Danio rerio: one gene and its partner. The protein of the gene in region 1 interacts with the protein of each later gene in a biochemical or structural test. Links are inferred from orthologs where the notes say so. Each region holds a gene or a part of one and is shown in the gene's direction. Other genes may lie near its edges.

What was found.
Region 2: the proteins of grip1 (region 1) and carm1 form a complex in vitro, tested with the Homo sapiens proteins (2 studies listed by BioGRID). The link is inferred for Danio rerio from reciprocal best matches to the Homo sapiens genes GRIP1 and CARM1.

Annotation. Positions count from the first base shown.
Region 1 is NC_133179.1:13,609,266-13,619,650, reverse strand, and holds the end of grip1 (glutamate receptor-interacting protein 1), read left to right. Parts: intron 1-1,905; coding exon of another isoform or gene 1,906-1,944; intron 1,945-2,223; coding exon 2,224-2,335; intron 2,336-2,487; coding exon of another isoform or gene 2,488-2,532; intron 2,533-7,097; coding exon 7,098-7,331; intron 7,332-7,414; coding exon 7,415-7,561; intron 7,562-7,638; coding exon 7,639-7,902; downstream 7,903-10,385. UniProt on the Homo sapiens protein: May play a role as a localized scaffold for the assembly of a multiprotein signaling complex and as mediator of the trafficking of its binding partners at specific subcellular location in neurons.
Region 2 is NC_133178.1:33,017,743-33,027,130, forward strand, and holds the end of carm1 (histone-arginine methyltransferase CARM1), read left to right. Parts: intron 1-423; coding exon 424-536; intron 537-2,040; coding exon 2,041-2,139; intron 2,140-4,307; coding exon 4,308-4,376; exon of another isoform or gene 4,377-4,864; intron 4,865-5,467; exon of another isoform or gene 5,468-6,316; coding exon 6,317-6,456; 3' UTR 6,457-6,641; downstream 6,642-9,388. UniProt on the Homo sapiens protein: Methylates (mono- and asymmetric dimethylation) the guanidino nitrogens of arginyl residues in several proteins involved in DNA packaging, transcription regulation, pre-mRNA splicing, and mRNA stability.

The DNA of each region.
Region 1 (10,385 bases):
TTCCCTGATCTTATTGTGATGGATTTTATATCTATTTAAAATCTGTCAGGAATGTTAATCACATTGCAGACTTGCTCATCTACATTTATTAGCTGACATAACATTTATTTAGTAGTAGTAACTGATTGGTTGAAAACCAGGAAAGGGTTGAACTTCATTAGGATTACCTGGAGCAATATTTTAATCTTTCTTAGGCAAGTACATATGCTGTAAAATATAAAGTGCAAATTAACACTTTACCCCATTTATTTATTTCCTAATTATGAATGCTATTTTTAACCAAACATAAAAGATACACATTTTATGACACACTTTTCCATGAAACTTAATGAGCATCCAAATCAATGTTGTGTGCTGGGCTAAATGTTGTATGTCTGTACGTGTGATGGTATTTTTAGCGGTTAAGAACTCATAATATAACTATAAGCAGTCTCATTCCAGCTGGTAACTATTTTATGGCTTGATGAATTAATAGCTTATTCGTATGAATTTGTACAGTGTCATTCATTGTTTGTTGTATGATGTGCCGCAATATATATATTAGGGCTGGGCGATATGGCAAAAATGCAATCTCGATAACTATTTCCCATATCGAACGATAACGATATATATTTCAACATAAGTTGTTACTGCTTCCAGATTTACATATACATACATTTACATATTTTTCGGCTGATACATTTTCAGTGGCCAAAAATTTGGTTCAGTACATCTCTAATATCAACACACTTCTAGGTGCACATTGATGGACATTTCTGCTATGTGATTGGCTCACAGATCAATATAAAGTAAAAATGTTGAGAGCTTTTTATTGTTATTTACATAAATTTTATTAAATTTGATATTATATTGTTTATAGGCCCAGCCCAAATATACAGCGGAAGTCAGAATCATTAGCCCCCCTGAATTATTATTCCCCCTGTTTATTTTTTTCCTCAATATCTGTTTAACAGAAATATTTTTTTCAGCACATTTCGAACATAATAGTTTTATTAACTCATTTCTAATAACTGATTTATTTTATCTGTGCCATGATGACAGTAAATAATATTTGACTAGATATTTTTCAAGACACTTCTATACAGCTTAAAGTGACAATTAAAGGTTTAACTAGGTTAATTAGGGTAACTAAGCAGGTTAGGGTAATTAGGCAAGTTATTGTATAATGATGGTTTGTTCTGTAGACTATCAAAAATATATAGCTTAAAGGGGCTAATAATTTTGACCTTGAAAATGGTGTTTAAAAAATTTAAAAGTGCTTTTATTCTAGCCGAAATAAAACGAATAAGACTTTCTCTTGAAGAAAAAATATTATCAGACATACTATGAAAATTTCCTTGCCCTGTTAAACATCATTTGGGAAATATTTAAAAAAGAAAAAAGAAATTCAAAGGGGGGGGGGGGCTAATAATTCTGACTTCAACTGCGTGTATTTAGCCCTATAAATGCAAAAGACTTTACATTGCTAGAGTGTGTAACAGATAAATGATTCAACATTAATTAAAATTAGTTATAGTTAGGACACTAGAAATCTGGCAATGATGGAAAACAACAAAATTTAATTCAAGTTGACCTGTATAGCACTTTTCACAATAATGATGCACACCCACATGAAAAAAGAAGGTCTTGAATGTCCCAAAAAAATATCAATAACTCCTTTTCATCCAAAAACGAAGTTACTGCCTTTTGCATTTGCATGGCAGAATGGGTGATCAGAATGGGTTATTCCTTTCAAAAATTTAAAATTTTTGTATGAATGAAAATGTACAAATTCATTCTATTCAGCCAAAAAATAAAACAGTTACCTTTTATGAGCTGGGGGTTTATAAAATATAATGCACTGTGACAGACTGAGTGATCTGGTTTGCCGTTTGTGTTATTGATTGAAGCTGATCTTCATTTCAGGGCATCCACGCTGCCCACCGGTTTAATCTCAGACAGCAGGTGAGGTTCAGTGCTGTGTGCCTGTTAACCTGCACTGCTTAACCCAAACCAATCCGGCCCTTTCACTCCATAAACCCAAAGCCCCACAACCCACCAGGACATCACCGCCCATCACAGTGTGTCCGACCTCTATGTGTCTCTCTCTTCAAAGAGCCTCACCATAGCCTGCACAGATCATTGGTCGTGCCTTGCGTTCATCACTGTGATGCCTGCCTGCTCATTGGCAACCATTCATTTGTCACGCAAAACCATTTAAATGTCCCGTTGTGTTTCCAACAGGTTCACTGTGGGACACGATGGGACGGAACCAGACCAGGAGGAGAACTTTTGGTCACAAGCGCTGGAAGACCTGGAGACGTGTGGTCAATCGGGAATCCTGCGAGAGCTTGAGGTAATTTAGGAGAACAAAGTTGTCCATTCCCCTCTCCCTGTGTTCAAACTTTAGCTCTTTTCATTCATCAATTCCCTCTATCCCATACTTTTTCCAGTTGCATGTTGCTGTACCAACCCTTGGTTTTGTGTAACAGCTCCTTCTTTTTCCAGGACAAGCCAGACAGGCTTCTGAATAAGAGAAACCTGGCCATCTTGGTACCCCTTTCCTTTCTTTGGGCTTCCTCTTTGCTTGTAGCGCTGGCACCCAAGTGCTCTCCTCGTGCTAATGGGCTCAGTGTCTCTTGCTGGGGGCCTGCTTGAAAGGGTTGGGGTGTTGGGGCTCACAGACAACCACTATTGGCATCCACTTCACATCCTAGGGGTGCATTCAAAACGCAGTACTATGTAGTAAAGGCTTAGTTCACCCAGATTCAGTCCACATTTATGCACAGTTATGTCGTTCCAAGCTCATTTATGTTTAGGTTAAGGAAAAACAGTTGGAGTAATGAAGACATTAAAGGTATAAAACAATATTACTTCACTTAAAGGGCACCTATTTTACCCCTTTTTCAAGATTTAAGATGAGTCTTTTGTGTCTCCAGAATGTGTCTGTAAAGTCTCAGCTCAAAACACCCATCAGATTATTTATTATACCTTTTAAAATATTGAAATGTTCTGCTTTGAACACAACGTAGCTGTTTTTGTTGCCTGCGCCTTTAATGCTAGTTCTCCCCATCCACCGTTCCCAAATGCCTGTAAGAGCGTGCTTCAATTTTCCTGCTGTGTCAAATAAACAGCACAGTGACAGACATGAAGGACATTTTGGAGTTGATGAGATTGATGAGTAACACACATAATGTCATTACAAAGTTCGGAACGGACAAATCGGACACACACACATCGCGCGCGTTTAACTTTGCACTGTTTTTGCATGCAAAGTGACAGGATACACATTAATATCCACTGCTGTATGTATAGCCGTTATGTTAATGTACAAAATAAACCCAATTTAACGTCCACAATTCGGGATTGAAGCATTTTCTTCTATAATTGTACTGACATACGGCTGTGCACTGCAAAAAAGAATTCTTAGAATTTTTGTCTTGTTTCTAGTCCAAATATCTCAAAATTCGTAAATCAAGAAGAATTTTCTAGACAAGCAAAACATATGGTCTTGTTTTCAGAAATAATATGCTAAAATGAAGTGAGTTTTCCTTAAAACAAGCAAAATAATCTGCCAATGGAGTGAGCAAAATATTCTTATGTCAAAAGGAAAAACAAGATTATTTAGCTTACCCCATTGGCAGAGTATTTTGCTTGTTTTAATTGAAAACTCACTTAATGTTGGCATATTATTTCTGAAAACAAGACAATATGTTTTGCTTACCAAGAAAAAGCTTCTTGGTCTAAGATATTTGGACTAAAGACTACAAAAAATATATAAGAAAAGCATTTTTTGCAGTGTGTGATAAAGTAAAGACTATAAAATTGCTGCAGTTCATTAGAAACATGCACTGTTTAAACGTTTTAAACTTGTAAAACTCATTCATGATCACATTTGATAATGATTAATGATCACAGAGAGGCGATGAGATCTTTTAATCCTTGTTGCTTTGCGCACATCCTGTCTTGTTGATATGATTATACACGTTACTACAGAGACATGTTAATACATGGCTGTCAATCAATTTGGTGGGCGGTGAAACCACATTTCTACATCACGTTGTGGTGGGCCTCAAAATAGAAGGGATTCTATTTTAATGTCAGAAAATGTAAAAAATAAAAAAATAAAAAAAAGAGAGACTTAATGTGTTTCTATCACTTAAATAAGACTGTGGACACATTATACCCACACACAGTTCTTTCCAAACAGCTTTCAAAACATGATTTTCTTCATAGGTGCCCTTTTAAAAAAATGTATACTATTATTAATTGAAATAACTGATAAAATAATTAATAGATTTAGTTTTAAGAATAACAATTCAATTGTTTTAAACTGTCTTTCCACACAAATATTTTACACACCAGCAGTAATGCTTTCAAAAAAACTTCAAGAACCTGTGAAACCTATCTCAAAAAATAAATAAATAAATAAATAAACAACATTTTCATTCATTTAGAGCTTATAGAAAACCCCATCTGAAGACTGAATGTTGCTGTCATTAAACTAATGAACAAACTCTGTCTATTTTAAGGCTATCGCATTGTTGTTTCACATGAGAAAAACAAGAGAAAAACATCTTCGCCTGTTAACAGCAAGGCCTGCTGTGAAGAAAATATGCTCTGACGGCGCAGGGACACACTGATATCAGTCTGATAAGCGACTGAGTTTCTCATTGCAGTTTTCTTCCCACTATAAAGCAGATCCACATCTAGTGGGATGCATGACTCTAACGAGAACTGAATATGCCAATAAGAATGGAAATATTGCCACACTTGGCTCTGCCTGAAAGTATCCCAGCATCTCTCATCAACCTCAGCATCTCGTATTCGCTCATGACTTGCTCAGGCGTAACGGTGAAATGCAGGTAACGGATCCAGTGCCTTTTATTGGTGCAAAGTTGGAATTGTGTTTTTACTAGCTTGATGCAAATCGAGATGAGGTTTGAGAGCTGTGAAGGACAAGATTTTCCATCTTTCACCTCATACTAAGCCATTGTAGGGCTTTTGTGAGCTTGTACAGAACACATCACAACTAAAGTCCTAAATAATATGGGTTTGGAACAACATGAGGGTCTGTAAATAATGGCAGAATTATTATTTGTGAGTGAACTATCCCTTTAAATACTAAAAAAGAAACAAAAGCGTTGATTGAACTGATAAGAATTGCTTAAAAATTGGCTTTATTCTGTCGCTGAATGCATTTTATTTTGTCTCGTACAGTAGATAAAATCACCTGTCATGTCACACAATGGTGTGCTTGACATGCTTTGTGGCCAGCCTTGAAATATTTCATGAAAGCAGATTGATTTGCTTGCCTTGACTTTATCAGGTACCTTGAGTTAAACGCCAGCCACGTGTAGCCGACGGCACAGAGAAGCTTTTAGTAGTCAACGTTAGGACAAGCTGTGAAAGCTCTTCACTTTCCATCCCACTTGTCTGCGGAAACACGATAAAATCAAAAGCCTTTTACGCTGAATGTACCCTTTGGCCCTAATTGGATTCGATGAAAGTGTTTGCCTCTGGTTTGTGTCAGTATAAATGTACTATTGAGCTCGAAACGGCCTGAAAAACATTGTACGAAAGTCACACGTTTTCATTTTCCACATGCTGAATTGATTGAATGTGGTGTCGAGGTGCATGATTTACATGTATGATCATCGGTTTAATGATTTTTATGCTGCTTACCACAAATGCATCGGCTTGGACGAGTTTCCTCTTTTGTGTGGTCACCTGTCATTAACCTGGAATCTCCATTCCGTGCGGTTTGAGTGAGAGTCACACAAACTAGCAAATGACGGTGGACGGAAGATAACGAAGGCATGTGGGCTCATGCAAAGCATGATGGAGGAGATGCAGCAAGGCTTTTTTGTTGTGAAAATTTAGTCTTGTGTAGTCGTGTCTTCAGCAAAAGGCCAGAACCAGGTTCTTTTTGAAGATCATCTTCAAATGACTCCAAGAAACATACAAAAACAATGCCCACTCTTCATAATGTTTGTGTAATCACTGCCATGGCTTGCCATGGTGGACGTCGAAGCAGTTCAATCCACTCATTAGTGTGTCAAAATGCATGTTACTAAGAGTTTGTGTATCGTTGTCCATCATCATTTTGCTTCTTGTAACATACTAAACAGGAAGCATAACAAACTGTAAATGAAATGCTTTTGAATGTTTAATGAGTGTTTATGAGTGTTTCTCTGTCAATGTAACTTCCACAAACTAAAAGTCAAATGTTTGGGGGTTTAGAAAGAAGTTTCTTACGCTTACAATGGCTAAACTGGTGTTTATTCTAAAGCATTTTCAAATGTATTTTATTCCTGTGATAGCAAAGCTGCATTTTCAGCATCGCTACTCCACTATCACATGGTCATCATCAATATTTTTGTGTAAGCCAAGATGCATTGTTTTCACGATTCTTTGATATCCACAATTCAAAAGACCACCAGTTATTTGAACTTGAACTTGTTTGTTACCTTATAAATGCCTTTACTGTCAGTTGAGCTCAATTGTATGATGCTAATCCAATGCATGGTATGGCTTAGTCAGTACAGCTCAATTTTGAGGGTGTATTTTTTATTATTAACACCTCTGTTCCTAAGAGAGACATATAAATGCTGAATTGTGACCTATAAAGACTATCACTAATCACTGAATGTCCAAATAAAATGGCCACTATCTACATCCTTTTAAATGACTGTCACATGCAACTTAACATTGCTGTGTCATTGTCAGTAGATGAGATGAAGTTCTTCTCAGGCAGCTGACGAGCAGTTTCAGCCAAAGCTGGCTAAGGCAACGCAGAATGTAAAGGCACTGCAACTATATTGATATGTCTGTAATTCAATTCACTAAACTGCAGCGGAACAGCAAGCCAAAGTAAAGTGAGCCAAACTAAAACAAGCCAAACCGAACTAAGCCAAGTCATACCAAGCAGAGGAAAAGCAGCTTTAATGTATCTTTACTGGATTAAAAGCTTCTCTTCTTTTAAAACTCCCAAACTTTTGAATGGCAGCTCACACTAGACTTCACTTATAAAGTGCATTTTATTTGTTTTTTGCTTCATATAACCAGCACTTATATCGGCTGGTACTCAGCTCCTTTCCTCGTGGTTTTCCCTCTAGGCCACCATTATGTCGGGCAGCTCTTTAAGTCTAAACCACGACCCTGCGCCCACCCGAAGCCATCTGGGCCGTCAGGCCAGCTTTCAGGAACGTGGCAGTAACAAACCACAGTACTCACAGGCCAACCGCAGCAACACGCTGCCCACTGATGTCGGCAGAAAAGCTTTCGCCATGAGGAGAATGAAGCAGGAGATCAAAGACATCATGTCACCAACCCCGGTAGAGCTTCATAAGGTGAGATTATTGATCATTTCTCGATCAATTCAGTCTATTTAAAGCCGGTTTAATGTGTGTAACTGCTCCCACCACTTTCACAGGTGAGTCTTTTGAAAGACTCGGATCTTGAGGACTTTGGGTTTAGCGTGTCCGATGGAGTCTTGGAGAAGGGGGTTTATGTTAACAATATCCGTCCAGGAGGCCCTGCTGAAATTGGAGGCCTAAAGCCATACGACAGGCTGCTACAGGTGAGCCACTGTCCGAATAAGTATGGATGACAGTACAGAAGGAAGTGTGGCTAATTTTGCCTTGTTTTGTGCCACAGATTAACCATGTACGTACTAGAGACTTTGACTGCTGCTTAGTGGTTCCCCTAATAGCGGAGTCTGGAAACAAGCTGGATCTAGTCATAAGCCGAAACCCAGTTTCTTCACAGCCCTCAGAACTGAACCCGTTGTCCAATGATGAGACAGTGAACTGGACTGACACTGGAGACCCTCTCGAGCAGCCGGTCGCAGGGCTGGAGCAGGGCCAGCACAACTCCACATTAGCAGGACTAGAAGACAGAGACCCCACCAAGACTTTATAGCAGAACTCCTCCCTGGTGCCTGCAGTGGAGCATTTCTCCTCATGGTGCTAAACTGAACCCTCCCCTCCCATAACGGCTCTCTCTAGTGGAGGAAAACACAAGGGCCTTGTCCTATAGCACACCCAGTCCCTTTCCTACAGTAAGTCAGAGCATGAACCACCACGACAGAGGTCCTTTCTTGAGACGCTGGGTGTGTTTTTACCCTGTGAAAAAGCAGCGAAGACCACACTGACCTCTTGGAAAACCAAATTGTGGGGGGAGGGAAACCTGAAACAGTGCCATCCCTGATTTTTATTGCCAATAAACACTAGTTTTAAGGAGGATTAAAAGAAGATGCATAAAAGCAACACATGAGACTTCTACTTACAATATCGGACTGGCCACTCTGTGATCGTCCGTGTTTTGAGTTTGAATGAGTGTGCGTGAGTGTCCGAAGACTTTATTTCGTAAACCTCCACAGTCTGTCAAAGTCCCACGTCCCAAACGCAACCGTCGACCCTCCTATTTTGTGATACTGAAACACAAGTGTGTATCGTGTATGTCTGTGTATTTCCTTCTATCTGATGCCAAGGTCAGAGCTGGTCCCTTTTTTCTTGATATGAGAAGAGATGCAGCCGCGTGGGGGGAAAAAATGATCAGCACAATGAATTTGGTAGCCATTTTTCAATTGTGACTGAACGTGGGTTATAGCCTAATGCATGAGACCTTTTAATGCGAATATTTTGTAGTAATTCTGTCCAAAAAAAAAAAAGAGCTTGGCTACACGGAAAACACCACATATTGGTTCTCTGCCTGCTATATCACCGCAAATATGAATTCCAATGTCACTCATAAGGAGAGGGTGGCACAAAGGCACCTTATCTTGAAATTGGACAGATGTCTATTTTTATGAACAGAGGTGGATGATTTATAAGGGATGTGTGTGATTTTGAGCGATGGCTGGTTAGCATGAGGTCGCTATCGACCATATACTGAAGCAGATTGATGGCACAGAGAAGGTCATTCGGGTTTGGAAACTCTTTGTACTTTGTTAGCTAATCGCCGTAGGTCTGTGGTCTCCAGACTCTCGCCCCAATTTTTGAGGAAATCCATCATTGGCCCAAAGGACAGAACAGCTTATTTATTCCAACATCAATCTCCTAAATGAAAACGACAGGCATTCAAGTAGGTACTTGCATACTGTTTACTCCACTGTCTGTGATAAATGAGAATATTACGATGAACAAATTCATCTCATATGCTTAAATTTGCAGTGCCCACTTATGACAAAAACACAAGCATGGGGTTGATATCCATGAGAGAAAAAAAAAAAGACTTTTGTATTCTTCCCTCCATTGTTTAAGTAGTTTTAAATCATTATGGTAATTTGTATATGGTACTGTTATGGTTTTCTATGTTTCATCTGACATTTTTTCAGACTATGTAAGCCCAAAGGGTACGCATTTGTAAAGAGAAAAAAAAGAAGTGTCAAATCATGAGAGAGTGGATTCATTCTACCATATGCGGTAGACCACATCACATTTGTAGCTCTACTTGGAGAAAAAAAATAAGACTAGCAAAGAAAATATGCCATACGAAAGCTGCTAATGGCAATGAAGACCCTCACCCACTCGTGTGAAACTGTGCTTTTGATTGAGTGACGTCACCCTCGTTGTCAGTGCTCAAAGATCCTGTCTACTCACCATTTTCCATTGGCACGTTGAGGTTCTACTACTGAACTCAACAAAAGCCCACTTGATGGAGAAAGTCTGGCGATGATGACAAGGTGTCTTTTGTTGTCTTTTTATTTTATATAAGCCTTCAGGTACGGGTTCATTCCCCAAACTCATGCACTGAGATGTGTTTCTCAACTGCGTAATTGCTATGTGTTGAATTGCGGTTTCCAAGCCGTTATTCGAGAGTTAGCTGTCACTTTCATTACAACGCTTTCCTTGACCTAAGTTTGTCACGACACTTCACTGTGTTACTGCAAATACACTCCGGTCAAGTGGAGAGGAAAAAAAGCAAACTCATTTTTATGTTCCATTTGTGGAAACGTTTAGTGAAGTCAAGCACTGCCAGTTAAAATAGTGGGTGTCCATTTTCAGTATACGATGACTTTATGATTCAATGTCACAGTTATGTCCCTGAAATATTGTATTTTTATTTCTAATGGACAGGTATTATGAGCTGTAAAGTATTTTTGTACAAAATTTAATACTTTGTTAGCATGATGTTTATCGTCTATGTATAAATTTGGGGATTCCTACAGCTGTAATCCTTTGTATGGCCGACGAACAGAGAAACAATAAAACGACATACCGAGTGGAGAGATGACACTGAAATGATCTCTTGATCCAATTTGACTTATGACATGGTTGTGGGAAAAGAGCTAATGATTCCATTTCGATCCCTATATAACAGGGGTGTCTAACTCAGTTTCTGGAGGGCTGTAGCGTTGCAGAGTTTTGTTTCAACCCTGCTTCAGCACACCTGAAACAAGC
Region 2 (9,388 bases), on another chromosome or scaffold:
AATATCACACTATACTTGCTTGGCTCCTTAGTGTGGTGTTATTATGCAAAAGTAATGGGTTTTTCCATTCCTTTACCTGGAGTTAGAAGCAGAACCCAGAACAGTGGAAAAGATCCTGCAGTTTTAATTAATATTTTGAAATAGATTTTATTTTTCTAGTTTCTGTTTTCTATGTAGCCTTTATTGAAGTTGTGGTAATTTTCAGTCCTTTTTATTTTTGTTAAAATGTCTGTATAGTTTCAATTCTATTTTTAGTTTTAGTTTACTTTCATTTTAACCTAACCAAAAACAAGGAATGTTGTCTTGTACATTTTGGGGAGGAATATGAAATATTCATATTTCATTAACTTAAAAAATAATTTGTTTTTCCATGGCTCCAAGTTAGTTGACCATAATTCCCTTATTCTGTGTTGTGTTTCACAGGTACACGGGCACAACACCTGCCCCTCCTCCAGGTTCACATTATAGCTCTCCCTCAGAGAACATGTGGAACACTGGGGGAACATACAGCATGAGCCAAGGCATGGCTGTGTCAGGTACAGCACCTGGACGCTTCTTACAAATTCTAAATGTATTCCCTAAATTCTCCTCATGGGAAAACCTGGTATAGTCATGGAATTTTGACATGGCATCTTTCAGGCCTGTAAAACATTTTGGAAAGACAAACCCGCAATGTTTTGGAAAAGTCATGGAAATTTGTTTAACAAATATGTGTATACTCGAAAACATTTTAATTGGTATTATTAGTTACATTTTTATGTATAATTGTGCGGTCGGTCTCTCAATGTGACTTTGTCTTCGTGAGCTTAAAAGAAAATTAATTATACTTAAGTCAAGGAATATGTTGAGTGCTGTGCTCAGAAACAATCGCAAACTGCAGAGGCAAGATACTGTTGAATTTGTATTCTTATAAGTCTATAATTTTTTAAAATATGATCACACAAACGGCAAGATATCAGCTATACAGTAGTTTGTATGTGGTGAATGCATGCTCTCATATTTATGTACTTGAGGACTGTCCTTATTTATAGAAACCGCCTTCTGCAAATTTATCGGAACAGAGTGTTTTATCATAAATGTTTAATATGTAACCTATTGAAGTAACTGGATTTTGGTTTCACTTTAACATAAGCTCAATTTTGCAATAGAAGATATTTGTCAGTGATATTTGTCAGGGTTTTTGCTATATACACTAACTTATGTTTTATAGGTCATGTTAAAACAAAGGGTTAACAAAATAATGTCAAATTATTAAATATTATTCTTGCATGTGGGTTGATGTGCAGCACTAGCAAGTGGCCCCATCTAGTGGAGCCCACAGTATTCTTCAGTTTTTACCCTAGATTGGTATTTTGGATTGGTACCTTACATTTCTTTTCTGAAAGTTATTATTGCTTAATTAGTGAAGTGATGCTGTTTGTTAATCATATTAATATCAACATGAACCAGTTAATCTATTTATTTAAAAATGTTATGTTAAACTATAAAATAGCTGGAGTCAGAATTGAGTTATCGTAATACCTTGTGTTTTGGTTTGCCAAGTGTGAAACTTTTATTTTCTGAAAATAGGTGCATATAGTATTTAGCCTCCTTCCAATCTTTACTTATAGTTAACACTGATTTAAGCTTTTATTATTAATGTTATGAAGGATTTGTCTTTTTTGTTATTAGTTTTATCATTTGTTATCAGTAATGTTTATCATTATTTGTAAATTGTGTGTAGAAATTACAATTAATGGTATAGCCTTGGCCAATCACATGCTCTCACATAATGCTTCCACACATCAATGTTAAATAAAATAATATATCATACATTTTACATAGACATAAAATAAATATAAATTGCATGTATTGTCACATATTTTATGAAATGCTGTGTTGAAAGTGCACATGCATTTTTACTTATTATTTACCTTGTATACAGAGACTTCGCATGACACATTAGATCATGAATATTTACCTGAAAGTAAAGGTAAAATGAACCCTGACTGTTGTGATGCGACTCAGATGTTTCTCTCTCTCTCTCTCTTTGTGTTTCAGGGATGCCTACAGCCTATGACCTCAGTACTGTCATTGGTGGCAGTGGGACAACCGTGTCCCACAACAATCTCATCCCCCTTGGTACAGACACGCATGCACGTATGGATATTTACACACACGCTCACAAATACACATAATACTTTCTAGCCCTCTAAGATCCCAACTGAAGTTTTAAAGAAATTACATGAAGTATTAAAGGGGCCACATCGTGAAGGATCCCGTTTCAATTCAGGGTTTCCACAGGTCATGACATTTCTGGAATATTATGGAGTTTTATCAGGGTATTCAAGTCATTAAAAGTCAGAGAATTTTACATATTTTTCATGTCAAGTCATGGAATATCAGGGACTTTTATTTGTCATTTAACTTCCCATTTCTGTACCATGTTTGATGTGTTGTTTCACATGGTTTTGCCTGTTGTTATGGTTAGGCTATTTTTCACTGCCATTTTATTTTTTTTACTTTGCTATCACCAATCAAATGCATTCATCATGCTGTACTTGTGGCTGTTTTTAACTGCGCAGTGCTCAACCAGTCCTTCCTGAGTTTTGTAGGGGAAATTTTTTTATTATTGTAGCATAAATGTATGGAAATTGTTTGTTTGTTTTTGCTGTGGCTGAATGTTCATTGCAATAATACAACTTGATGTGAAACACGTCACAGACCTAAGTGCAGAAGTGCAGTGCCATGCCATACCATACTGTACCGTCCCGTAGGGCTAGTCCAATAAATGCTATTTTAATCAGTCATGATCAAATTTATGTCAAAAACATTGATAGACTCTGCACTTTTTCACTCTTTATTGATCTTAGAGCCAATCACAGAGCAGAAATGTACAGCTATGGGAATCTAAAAGTGAGTTAAAATTAGAATGTACCGAATTTTTGGCCACTGAAAATTTATCAGTCAAAAATGTTCTATCACTTAGTTAGGGTGTCTGCGGGGTCTTAAAGTATTAAGTTGATAAATCAGTTATGAGAAAATTAAGGCCCTTAAAAAGGATTAAAAAGTCTTAGTCACATTTTACGAGGTCTTAAATTTTGTTCAAGCGTTGTCCAAAGTGTTTGACTCCAAAAAAGCATAAATATATTTATTTTTCTCCTAATATTAACAACGGCGTACTCGATCAATGCCATTGGTTCGTGCTGCGGTGTGTTCTAGCTCCTCCATGGGTGATGTAATCTGCGACAAACGTGGGAAGGTGATGTGACACTCTTCGCATGTAGCAAAACCATAGAGTGAAACAGTTGGTAAAATGTAAGTTTGCGTACTCTAATTGAGGAAAGATGAGTGTAAACAGTGGCTGAAGCCTGTCGCTGAAAACAACCACGTAATTTGTATTTCATGCTTTGTTCCTTCCGAGCTTATCCGTGTTCTGTTGCATGGTTGTGCTCCATTTAATTTTTTTATCTACAACTGTTAATTAAGTTAAAGGTTTGGTTCCACATTACTAGAACTTTCATTAGTTGAACTTGAACTGGCGATGAAGTATTAAAATATTTAGAGAAGGTCTTTAAAAAGTCTTAATTCAAATGAGGGTTCCTGCATATACCCTGGTAATGGACTCTCTGATTTTTGTGGCTTCAGTCATTGTTGGGGTACTCTTAAATCTGAAAGCATTATCAACTTGCGTTAATATATATCATTATCATTCAATATGGATAATAATAAGGTTAGGTTTTTGGCATATCGCCCAGCCCTAGTGTACCGTGTCTATGACGGCTCAAGAGATCACACACTAGTTGAGCACTTTCTATATGTGAATATGCTATTTAATATAAAACTGATCCATGTCCTGGTTGCCCAAATGTGGATGGACCGCTCGACACAACAGCTTCCTGTTTTTTCTGTTCATAAAAGGTCATGAAAATTCAGCTTTTTACTCAGTGAAAGTCAGGGAATTTGACATTTGGCTTTCAGTGGGAACCCTGTTAATATTTCTGTTACTTGCATACATCAAAACATTTAAAATCCATTTTAAAGCTAAGCTATAAAGCTACTTGAATGGCCCATTATGAGTTTTGTTGGTGGAAGGCATTTGATATAGTCTATGTGCAGTATTCATTGACTACTGTTGGATGATCAGAAAATGCCATTTATAATTGGACCTTGTGGAAATAAAAATAAATAAATGTGACCCCTTTAATATCCATTCTAAAAGCCTTAGTTTAAGACTCTGTTTCAGTCTCCAAGTATTAAGGTGTTGATGTAGATGACATTGTCTGTGTAAATTGAAGAGGGGTTTGTTTGTGTTCGTTCCTCTCCAGTGAACACGGGGATCGTGAACCACACTCACTCCAGAATGGGCTCTATAATGAGCACAGGAATCGTCCAGGGTGAGTGTCTATTTCTAGAAATGTACATCACTCTTTAAATGTATGATTTTCTCACCATCATGTCATATTAAACAAATAGGGAGACTTTGATCAACTACTTCATACAAATAAGCTTTCTTACAAGCAAAACAAGAAATGTTAATAAAGTCAATTGTTTATTTTGAATATGAATGATTGCATTTATGTAGAGTTTTTAACATGATTTGCTGCACATCAGCTTTTAAAGTGCTCTTATGTGCTTTATTGTAGAGCTGCACAATGTATCAATTCAGGATCGATATCACAATCTGATCATTTGCAATAGTCACATCGCGAGAATATGCAATGTTGAGTCTGAATTATAATTTATTATTTCACAAGTTTTTTTTTTTTTTTGAGGACTTTTTGAGAGTTTTAAAAGCATTCAGGCTTTAAATATTGTACTGTTTGTGCCCTTAACAAATTAACCATGATAAGTTTTATTGAGTTTTTAAATAAAAGACTATGCAGTATTATTGTACATTTGATTATTCAATTACTGTATACCTGAATACTGTTCGACTGTTTTTTACATCATAGGTCTCAAAGTCAATTCGGGGAGGGCTGCAGCTCTGCACAGTTTTGCTCCAACCCTAATCCAACACAGCTGATGCCACTAAATAAGGTGTTCTAAACCTTTTTGAGCAACTCGATTGTTCAAGTGGTGCTCGCTGCAGAGCCATTTGGGCGAGCTGAGCTCCAGCGAGGGGGAGCTTGAGCTTGAGCTCCACCTTTTTTGCACTTCTTCTACGAGTGATGTCACTGGGGGTAGGGTTAGGGGTGGGGTTGGTGTACGCATTAAAACAGCTTACAGGAGGAGGAGCGAGAGCTCATGCTCCCCCTCGCTGGAGCTCAGCTCTGCTCAAATGGCTCTGCAGCGAGCACCCTCTCCGATTGTTTGGATCAGCTGTGTTTGATTAGGGTTGGAGCAAAACTGTGCAGAGCCAGGAATTGAGTTTGTGACCTATGCTTTACATGCTGTCACATGATGAACGAACGACTCAAAAACCAGAAAACTTGAAAGGTGAACTAATCATGGCTCCTTTCAGCGCAGACTGTGTGCATTGGTTAAGCTTATATGGAACTGTCTGTGTGACGTAAACGAATGACTCAAATTTAAGCTGTCAGAAAAGGTGAGCTGACATGATCATAGACAAAAGAGCAGATAAACAAGAAATGATTATTTTCTCTATTAGGCGCATATTAAATGTTGATGGAGAAGTCCATGCGAGTGGCTACTAACAGTAGTATCTGTTGTTTTTTTGACGACTGCACACACAAAGCAGGAAAGTCACACCTTCTGGATGAGTTGTAGATTAAGAATCTTATAAAAAAGTAACTCTTTATACTGATGTTCAGTTTGTTTAAATTAGTTTGGTGTTACAAATGAATCATTTCAATCAGTGCCAGGTTATACTATAATTCATTTGTATGTAATATATTAATATAAGTACTATTCAACTTGAAGTGCTATTGACTTTATTCTGTAATGCGGAAGTGCGCTCATTTTGCAATTTGTTTTAGGACTTCCGATTCAGTCGTCTATGAGAGAAATGACTTGGAATAATAAAATGATCAAACTACTTTCTCTACAAACAAGTGTTTACATTACTTTCTTACAGCATTCTAGTTATGACTTGTTTGTAGTGTGATGAATGTTTGGGCTAGTTATAGATGAGTTTTAAAGCAACTCGTAGCCTTTTAATATTTTAGGCAAATTGAACGAAATGACTCAAGAAAAAAAAAACAAGATTTGTTCATCTCAACAAACGAGACTCAAAGGTCCAAGTCAGTAAAATGATTCAAACTTCACATCTCTATAAATCACAAAGTTTTAAGATGGCACAATGTGAGCACTTTAAGGCCTTGATCATTAAATGTTCTGAGATACAAAGGTTATAATGTTGCATTTTTCTTCTCAGGGGCAACAACTGCGCAGCAGGGTCCAAGCAGCGCCAGTCTTCATTACCCCGTCACCAACCAGTTCACCATGGGCGGCCCGGCGATCTCCATGGCATCTCCAATGGCCATCCCCAGCAACACCATGCACTACGGGAGCTAAGGCTGAGGGGACGGCCTCTGCATGTCCGATTCTCCAAACGTCCCCTTTACCCCCCCTGCAAACCAACAGCCAAATTCAGAAAACCAAAACCAGTGCACCAGTCTCTGACCATCACTTTATACTCTCTCTCTGTCTCTACATATATATATATATAGATATACATGTATACTTATATGTATATATTCTAAAATTTCTTTCACTGGCGTTTTATTCTTACATATCCGTCCCGCGGCCCTATAATGTTAGCGTGCGCAGGCATTTGGCCAGTTCAACGTGCCTGAGTTGTCACTGTTACTCACAAATCCCCCTCCTCCAAAGCCACATGCAGCGCCTGCTCCACAACCAGCCACTAGGAGGCAGCACTTGTCTGTAAGCATGCTGAAAAAGCACAAACCAGAGACTCAAGACTCAACTCAAAGGACTCGGTCAGAACGCTAACGATGGGACACTTTTGTTTTTTCTTTTCTTTTTAAATAAATGCTTTACAAATGTGCACGCCCCCTCCCACCCTTCATGAACTCCCACTTTTTTAGCTTCACAAACTCCATCATTGACTCTTAATATGAATTTGAGTTTCGAGGATCTTCATCGTACCTTCACTTCACCGTTGGCTTTTTAACGTTTCCAGCAACATGGACAGGCCGTCGCATATCAACTTCTCTCAGCATGGGCTTTCGGCGGCCATCTTGAGTTGACCTAAATGTTCGTCCAGGCCTCTCGAGAAAGAGACGGACACGTGCTGTAGATGCTCGCAGACTTCATTACGACTACTAGCGCAGTACCGCTGGATCCTGCCTGTAGACAACCATAGCGTAGATAGAGATCGTCTTTCTTTCCATTCCATTTCTGACTGTGTGTTTTAATGTAGTGCAGTTGACGTGTGTCGCTTGGTGTTCCCCGAGGTGAATTCTGAGCATGGTTTAATCGAGACTCCAACACCACGCAAATCTGACTTCATCATTTGGCAGATTCGCTGACAATTATATGGACACAAATGGTTTAGGAATACAAAGACCAGCACCAAACCCTTCACTACCAGCCAGGGAAGGAGGGTAGATGCTGGGATGGACAGTCAGCACTGGGGGGGGAGGAAGATTGATGCATGAATGATAAAATAAAAATAAAAAAACAGTTAGGTCTGTGGACACACGCACACACTGACCACAGCAGCAGGACAACTGTTTGGGAATTGCAGTATCCTAGTTTACGCCCCCGCCCCCCCCAGTAAACCCTTATCTGAACTTCTGTGTGTTGTGAGACTCGTTGAGGAAAGGAGGAGATGAAGTGACGCCTGAGCAGCTCCAGCTTTCCTCCTTTCACTCCTTCACTGGGGATTTGACCATTACCCCATCCAAGACTCTGAAGTCGTATGCACCGCTTCCACTCAATTTTTTTGGTTTTGTTTTGGGGTTCATTTGGTTTGATTTAGCAAGGATCATGAGATGGAAAAACAACCTTGTCTGGTAGTTTGTAGAGTTAACTTTTTGTTTCGTTTTTTTGTTTTCTTTCACAAAAAAAGCAACAGACAAAAAAAGGAGCATATTAAATGTTGATGGAGAAGTCCATGCGAGTGGCTACTTATAGTAGCATTTGTTCTGTTTTTTGACGACTGCACACACAAAGCAGGAAAGTCTCACCTTCTGGATGATTTATAGATGATTAAGAATATTACAAACACAGTAACGTGTAATATTGATGTTCAGTTTGTTTCTATTAGTTTGGCGTTACGAATGAATCATTTTATAAGCCATTTATTAAGGTAATGCCTGGTTATACTATTCTTCATGTGTATGTAATGTATTTATATTAGCACTGTACAACTTGAAGTGCTATTTACCTTATCCTTCAATGTGGAAATGCGATTGTTTTTGCTATTGTTTTAGAATTTCCGTTTCAGTTGCCTATGACAGAAATGACTAGGAATCGCTCGTACGGGAAGAATAAGGTGAATATTGCATTTAGAAATCAACATTTACTAAGGTAAGCTGCAAAAATATTACTTCTTAGTTTTGGATGCTCCAATCAATCTGCTGAAGATTGGTATCGGCCGATAATCACATTTAATGACTTGAACGGTGTTCGCCAATCTGGCTGATCTCATGAACCGATCGCAGGTGGTTTGTTGATGAGTTCACATGCAGAGGAGTTTTTATATCTGTGTTATATTATTTTCTGTAAAGCTGCTTCTGGCCATGGTATGTCCACACAATGGTTATGAGAGATGCCTTTAAGGGATTATGTGCAGCATTCTTAATTTATTCTCTTGGATAAGGCGAGATCTCCACTTAAGTGTCATACATGGAAGAAAAATGCATTATGAAGCTTGAAGCATCAGAAACAGTACTCCATATCGGCCAATCACAATAACAAAGGATCGGTATTCTGAATCGGCTGCAAAAATCCTGATCAGTGCATCCCTATTATTAGTTCATGTCAGCCATTTTGATAACCCATGGAACATTGCGTGCACCCACATGACATCTTTTAAGGAACATAAGAGGAAACGTAATGACTTTTACATAGTTTAGGCAGTGCAGTTTCATTTATGACTTAAGACTGTTTCTGTAGAAAGCCATTGTATCATTTTATTGTATTGGATCCAGTCATAGGGATTCCTTTTAAGGTGCTTTTTGGCATTTTTACCTGTCAACCATTAGTCACTGTCCACTTTTTACTGGATACAACAAACAAAAAACTAGATTGGTGGAAGAAACAAGTCAAGATTTCAGAACGATAATATAGAATTGTTGGGTAAGATGTCCTTCAAATACTTTTGAAAAGTAAAATTCCTTTCAAACACAAAAAAATGCTGTCATTTACTCACTTTCATTACTTAAAAAAAAAACAAAAAAAACAAGGTTTCTATTGTGAAAATGAAAAAAGAAATTGTAAAATGTCTCAAAAGTTTTCCATACATCTGTATGCACCAAAA